2 linked regions of the Danio rerio genome follow. Each later gene encodes a partner of the first gene's protein in a complex. Links are inferred from orthologs where the notes say so. Each region holds a gene or a part of one and is shown in the gene's direction. Other genes may lie near its edges.

What was found. Proteins that work in one complex are often made in the same cells at the same time.
Region 2: the proteins of egln1a (region 1) and epas1a are in contact, whole or in part, in a crystal structure (PDB 7Q5X), measured with the Homo sapiens proteins. The link is inferred for Danio rerio from reciprocal best matches to the Homo sapiens genes EGLN1 and EPAS1. Residues at the interface, in NP_071334.1 of Homo sapiens: Gln239, Leu240, Val241, Ser242, Lys244, Ile251, Arg252, Trp258, Asp277, Ile280, Arg281, Ile292, Asn293, Gly294, Arg295, Thr296, Lys297, Tyr310, Val311, Arg312, His313, Val314, Asp315, Pro317, Asn318, Asp320, Arg322, Arg370, Trp389, Tyr390; in NP_001421.2 of Homo sapiens: Asp525, Leu526, Glu527, Thr528, Leu529, Ala530, Pro531, Tyr532, Ile533, Pro534, Met535, Asp536, Gly537, Glu538, Asp539, Phe540, Gln541, Leu542.

The regions. Positions count from the first base shown.
Region 1 is NC_133188.1:53,018,862-53,022,361, forward strand, and holds part of egln1a (egl nine homolog 1), read left to right. Parts: intron 1-91; coding exon 92-211; intron 212-3,500. UniProt on the Homo sapiens protein: Cellular oxygen sensor that catalyzes, under normoxic conditions, the post-translational formation of 4-hydroxyproline in hypoxia-inducible factor (HIF) alpha proteins.
Region 2 is NC_133187.1:27,562,823-27,567,122, forward strand, and holds the start of epas1a (endothelial PAS domain-containing protein 1), read left to right. Parts: upstream 1-1,500; 5' UTR 1,501-1,709; coding exon 1,710-1,735; intron 1,736-4,300.

The DNA.
Region 1 (3,500 bases):
AGAATATTGTAATATATTTAAAATCGCATCATGACACAAGTGATAATATCAACCCTGCTGACCTGTGAGTGTTTTCTGTGTTTTCTGGCAGGCGATGGTGGCGTGTTATCCGGGTAAAGGCACGGGTTATGTGCGCCATGTGGACAACCCGAATGGCGATGGGAGATGCGTCACGTGCATTTATTATCTTAATAAGAATTGGGATGCCAAGGTATGCAAGAAATCACAGATGTTATTTAATCCTCAAAGCTTCGACCTGAAAAATTTTGTTATTAAAAGGGACTCTCAAAATACACATTTGTTTACGTTTTTTTTTCTTCTATTATTATCATTTAGTTTGCCTAATTATCCTAATTAGCCTAGTTAAGCCTTTAAATGTCACTGTAAGCTGAATACTAGTATCTTGAAGAATATTTAGTCAAATATTATGTGCTTCCATCATGAAAAGACAAAGGAAATTAGTTATTAAAACTAATGCTAAAAATTAATACGTTAACAGTGTTATAAATTCAGATGTCTTTATTTAATTTCATTCATTTATTTTCCTTCAGCTTAGTCCCTTATTTATCAGTGGAATGAACCACCAACTAATCCAGTGTATGTTTTACACAACATATGCCCTTCCAGCAGCAACCCTGAACTGGAAAACACCTATACACTTTCACATTCACACACACACACACACACTCGTACACTACGGACAATTTAGTTTATTTAATAAATAAACTAAGGAGGAAACCCACGCCAACACGGGGAGAACATGCAAACTCCACACAGAAATCCCAACTGGTCCAGCCAGGACTTGAACCAGCGACTTTCTTGCTGTGAGGCGACTGTGCTAACCACTGAGCCACTGCCCAATTTCATTCATTCCAATGAAGTAAAAAAAAAGGTTTCTGAAAAAGTCTAAAAACAGAGGTCAATTATTTTTACAGCAGAACTCTTCATGTTTTGATTTCATACAATAATATACTTACACAAATCAAGTTTCTTATGTTATGCTTTGATTATATATGGAATCAAATATGGAAAATATTGTATATGGCATCGACTAAAACTGGAGTTTTGTTTAGTAATGTAACACTCACCGGCCACTTTAATAGGTACACCTGTCCAGCTGCTCGTTAATACGAATTTCTAATCAGCCAATCACATGGCAGCAACTCAATGCATTTAGGCATGTAGACATGGTCAAGACAATCTGCTGCACCAACACCATGAAAGCATGAATCCATCCTGCCTTGTATCAGCGGTTCAGGCTGGTGTATTGTTGCTGACCATGTCCACCACAGTGTACCCATCTTCTGATGGCTACTTCCAGCAGAATAACGCACCATAAAGCGTGAATCATCTCAGACTGGTTTCTTGAACATGACAATAAGTTCACTGTACTCAAATGGCCTCCACAGTCACCAGAACTCAATCCAATAATAGAGCAACCTTTGGGATGTGGTGGAACAGGAGATTGGCATCATGGATGTGCAGCCGACAAATCTGCAGCAACTGCGTGATGCTATCATGTCAATATGGAGCAAAATCTCTGAGGAATATTTCCAGTACCTTGCTGAATCTATGCCACAAATGATTAAGGAAGTTTTAAAGGAATAAGGGGTCCGACTGGGTACTGGTAAGGTGTACCTAATAAAGTGGCCGGTGAGAGAATATTTGTATATATAGTATTTTAAATGTACAAAAAATAAATAAATAAATAATAATAATAAATACACACACACACACACACACACACACACACACACACACACACACACACACACACAAGAATAAACCAATATTGTGCATCAGTACAGTACCATTTATTTGCAATTCATTCATTTATTTTTTTTTCGGGCGCCACAGCGGAATGAACCGCTAACTTATCCAGCAAGTTTTTACGCAGCGGATGACCTTCCAGCCGCAACCCATCACTGGGAAACATAAATACACACTCATTCACTCTCATACACTATGGACAATTTAGCCTACCCAATTCACCTGTACCACATCTTTGGACTTGTGGAGGAAACCCACGCGAACGCAGGGAGAACTTGCAAACTCCACACAGAAATGCAAACTGACCCAGCCGAGGCTCGAACCAGCGGCCTTCTTGCTGTGAGGCGACAGCACTACATGCTGCTCCACCGCATCGCCTATTTACAATTAATTTTGAAAACCAAACAAACATCTTGATTGTTTTATAAAATACCAGTTTGATCACACTCTAGATTTTAAATGTTGAAAAAAAAAAAGTTGAAAAAGTCTCAATGTTTGCTCAATGTTCTGAAGTTCTGACTGAAAGATGTTGTTGGCATTTTTAAAGCATGCTGTTTTCTGAGACGGTCATGAATGGCTTCTGCATACGTGCCGGTCGTGCTTCATTTCAGTCTAATCCCATTAACCTCTGAGATTGTAATCTCCAGAGAAAACCAGCAGGAGAGTTACTGAAACAGCTTAGAGAGTCATAAAAATGGAGCACGAGACTCAGTCAGAGGCAGAGACCATCAGTCATGTGATTAATGCACTAATACTGTAAAACCATTCACAGATTCTTCATGTGTTTCTTTACTCTCTGATTGCATTATAGTTTTATTTCATGCCTAGTATCTACACTGTAAAAAATGCTGGGTTCGACACAATTCCTTCATGTTGTCCCAACACAAATTTATTAAGTTAAATTAGTAATTTTTTTACAAATTAAGTGGATTCAGAAACAAAGTTAGATTAGTATTGTTCGTAACTCATTTTAAATAAGTAGTTTGAACAAGCAGCAAAAGTAATTTGTGAATGTGTAAATAATGCTGGGTTGTAGTCGAATATGGACAAACCCAACATTGGGTTGATTTTTTATTATTGGGTAAATCTAACTTTAACACTTTATAGTTTTTTTTCTAAAAATCTACTCTCAAAAAATATTTATTTGCTTTTACAAACAACTTTTAAAATGTTTTTACAATTTAAAACGAGCTGTAACAACACAATTCTTGAGATTTCATTGGGACAACTTGAATGTTTTATGTTCAATCCGCATAAAGTGTTATGCTGTGTTCACACCAGACGCGGTAGGAGCGTCAAGCGTGAGTGATTTAACTGTTAAACGTGCAATTAGACATCCTGTGGCGCGGTACGCGCAAATGACGCAAATTGCGCGGCACGAATGTCGCGATATGCGCGAATGACGCAGCGCGAATTGAACGTTTTGCGCAAATCGCTCGAGTTCAAAAATCTGAACTTCAGCAGACATTCGTGCCGCTTTAACCAATCATGAGCTTGCTCTTGTGGGGGCGTGATTGTGACATATTGACTGTTGTTGGTGTCCCGAGGTAAATCCTTCAGCCGACACCGACAACAGTGCATCAAACTGGGCTCGGCTCAGTCAGGAGCACCGCTGAAAGCCTCATCCAGCCGTCATCCAAGTTCAGTTTCTGGAGGAGTTTATGAGCTCAGCTGGATGCACCTCTGAAAGAATCTATTGGACTCAGACACAGCCCTAAACATATCGACAC
Region 2 (4,300 bases), on another chromosome or scaffold:
ATTATAATGGGTATTTTCTGTGTATTAAAGGTATACCAACAGTAAAAAAGTGGAAATGGTCTGTTTTAATACTATACCTACAGTAAAAAAGAGGCCTTTTGTGTTTAAATAGTATATACAGTAAAAAAAAAAAAAACTGATTCTGTGTTTTAATGTAAACCTACAATAAAAATAGCCTATTTTACTATTTTACTCATTTAATACTATTCAAGCAGTATAAAAATGCCAAATGGTAAGGATACACATTTCATATATGGGAAAGTACACATTATTTATTCATTCATTTTCTTGTCGGCTTAGTCCCTTTATTAATCCAGGGTCGCCACAGCAGAATGAACCACCAACTTATCCAGCCGCAACCCATATCTGGGAAACATCCACACACCCACACACACTCATACACTACGGACAATTACCTGTACGTATGGGCTGTGGGGGAAACCGGAGCACCCGAAGAAAACCCACGCGAACGCAAACATGCAAACACAGAAACACCAACTGAGCAACCTTCTTGCTGTGAGGCGACAGCACTACCTACTGCGCCACTACGTCGCCATAACGTTATTTATGGTTTACCTAAACAAAACCTTTTTTCTATGTTGTATGTGTAGAGAAGCAGTAGTTTGTGCGTTAGTAAAAACAACAACAACTTCGCAATTAAAACAGATTCTTTAATTAATAAAAAATATTTTGCAATTCCCAGTTAAACCCTTACTAATATAAAATAAATTGTCAATCACATTGTAAAAAGTCTGGCAAATAATCTCATGGCAAATTGGCTTTAAAATTTAGCTTTAAGATAATTAAGGACAAGTGGGCAAATTACAAATACTCTTCATTTTAAAAAAGCATTTTAACTGCAAGATGGCAGGAAATGAGCGATAAAACTGCTTCTTCATCTAAATCAAAACATTGAAATGACATTCACTTACAACTGGGGTGATTCCCAGGAGAAAATGTTATAAAACGTTCTTCACGCTATGAAAAAAATATATTTGAAGTTTTTTTTCAATAAATGGTTTTGGTGATCAAAAGATTTCTACTGTGGCAATGGCATTACTTTGAAACCCCAATTTTTCCTGGCACTATTACTTTGAACAGTAAAGACTTAAGAGTCGATTTAGTCTAAATTAAATCTCTTCCAATTAAGTCCTGCTCCTGAAAAGGACAAAGTAGGCCTACTTTTATTCTGCAATATTATTTTTGTTTGATTAACCAGGTTTATAGATTGGCTACTTTTTTCACATTTTGCTCCTCCAGAGCACTCTGCGTGCTTTTTTGTTTTTTGAGATCCCTGAAGCATTTTCCCCTTCCAAACTCGCATAGACCTCGTGAGCGCGAATTTGTGACAGAAAAGTCTCGGGAATCTCGGGATCGCGCGCCGGCGGGAGGCAGCCGCTAGAAGCACCAATCAGTGCGCACAGTGCACAGTTCTGAAGGCACGCGCAGCGCAAGAGTGGCGCTCACGAGCTCGTCAGCCGCGTCCGGTCCGTCCGTGTCACTCTGGAGAGCTAGTGCGATCCTCGGCAGTGTTCTGAGACTGCACTGACTGCTCCGGTCACTGCTGGAAATGCCATGAGAATGGACATAACCGTGAAGAAATAACTAAATAAAGGCATCTGTGATACAAAAAGAGTTTAAACGATTTAGTTATCTTTCGGGAAAGTTTTGTGAAGTCATTTATACGCAGGACAAGGTTCTTCAGCATCATGACAGCCGAGAGAGAGAAAAAGAGGTAAGACGAGGAAACTTCATTACTGCGTGAAACATAACTTATGTATTTACAGCCTTGAGTTGTTTATCTTAATTTAAGACTCACAGGTGAGATTTGGCGTATTGCGCAATGGCACGGGCATTAGAGCGGAATAAACTGCTTTTTTCAACCCGAGGCGCAAACACTTGTACACGTTTAGCTTTTTTATAACTAACTTTTTGCTTTATAATTTCCAAAGCAAGTTTAGTTTCTAAAGACTTTGATATCGGAGAGTTGCACTCGGATCCTATTTATGGCTCCTTAGTAAATAGGCTCATGTAAAGGTCTTGAAAGTTATAAAAATGTCATCACCAGAGTTGTATGCTACTAAGAAATAATTTTCTGTATCTCTTTATGCATATAGTAAGTATAAAATATAATTGATTCGCTTTTTTGTGCTAATCTTGGATATGCTTATTCAATGTCAATGATATAGTGCAAAACAAAGATCAACAAATTGTCAAAAGAAAGTGAACAATACAAAAAGAATGCGTTTGATAATACACCAGCTGAATTTTATACATGGTTTAAGTATTATTTTTTTATCCATTCAGCATCATTACATATGTTATTTAATCTTGCTCATTTTGTTCATTTGTAATTGTAATCGTTCATTAGGGAACATTAAATCTCAGTTTTATTTGTAATAAAATTAGATCACAGCATTAAGGATATGTTATTTTTTTATTATTAGTGGAAGTAGTTTATAATGACAATTAAGTCACTGAAGGAATTGGTAGTCAACTTAACTATTACATCAATATCTAAGGAAAAACACTTATCCCTATGTTCCAAACACAATAAGATATGGCATATACAAATAAAATATTAAATTAAGTTTTACATTTATTTTTAGTTATTGCATTTAGTCTCTTTCATGCAAATCAGTGCATCTCAAACATGTAAACAACATTTATGTTTGCATGGCATGCTTCCATAGTACTCTTTAGTAGTATTTCTATTCTGCAAAATTGAACCCTTTCAAGTGCAGTCCCTCCACCAGCCACTAAAATGTCTTTATCCCCTAGGTCACAAACTCATTTAAGGATAATGCACATAAATCATAAATACTGGTTTGCTGTTTGGTGTAAATTGTGACTGGCGATCTGTATAGATGATAGTTTAGTCAGCCACACTGAAAAAGAAAAAAAGATGTCTGCAGAATTTAAACAAACTAATTCAATTTTGTAATTTTGAACTTAATGTGTTTAAATAAGTTTAAATAAATTGTTTACAACCGCTTAAAAATGTAGTAAATCCATGGAATCATCTTTGAATTTTTTTTTTAGTACAGATACTGGTCATTTAGGTGGTAAACATAGCCAGCTGCTCTTTAGTGCCTAAAGCATACTAAAAAAAGGGGTTAAATCTTCCCCTGTGTGCTGCTTGTTAACAGGAACGTAATGTTCCAATTGAAACTGGGGTTATCAGATCAGGGTTCACCTCTTTTTTTTAAATGCTCCATAATGTGTCCCTGCTCTGGTTACTTCCATCACCTTATACGATTCTTATCTGTTATCTGGTTTGTTTAACTTGCTCTTCAGGTGTTTCATTAGCAGTGTGATTGTCTTTTGTAAATGAATCCCAGTGGAGTAATGCAATCATTGTTAATGACATCTATCAATGCTTATTTCAATATGCAATATATGTGCAATGCAACAATACACTGACACCCTAAGATCAGTCATTTATTTCAACACTGAACGGCTCACTGGATTAATAGTTGGGAAACTAAAGGTCGGCCGTTTCTCCGAGGTTAGGGAAAATAGGATTATCTGTAGTGAATGGGTGCTGTGTACAGTCTGGCTTTTGGCTTTCTGTGAACTCTGGCCTAATCTGGTTGAGGGGGAGATGCAGAGAGAGATAGAGGGAGGAATGGGTTCACATCGGCCTGCTAATCACATGATCTGCTCCCCTTTGACAGCTTTTGGTTCAGTTGTGCGTGATGACGCCTGAGGCAGTAGGTGATAGGTGCAGCAGTTGCGCTATTGTGCTTTTCAAAGGTGCGCTTTAGGAATCGTGACAGCTCTGTTTTAGGCAAATCTGCCTTGAGATCTCACGCTGAAATACAGACCGGCCTCATGTTGAGTGCCTGACTGATGCTTTTACTGTAAAGAAGAGTGCTTGTTGAGAACATGTGGGAGAGGCTAAATAGCTGTCGGTCCTGTTATTTTGCCCATGGAAGATGAAAAGACTGGTTAAAAAAAAGTGAAAATAGCCAGCAGGCATCTGTCTTCGGGCTATACCTTGACCTGTTGCACATCTTATATTCAGAAGTTTAGCCTGGTAATGTGCAGAGCGTTTGGGGTTGAGGTCAGCAGCTGGACTGTGTGGGAACTGAACTCAGTAGCCTAGTAAAGGGCTGATGCAGATTCCCATCATTCGAGGCACTGAATCTAGTGTGTTTGTAAAAATTAAAAAATTAATTAAAAGTGTAGTGCTCTGTGCATTATGCAACCTTGATCTCTGATCCAACAACTTTTGTACTTTAAATGTTTAACAGTGACTTTTGCTGGTTTGAAATGTCAGATTTTGTAGACATTTTTA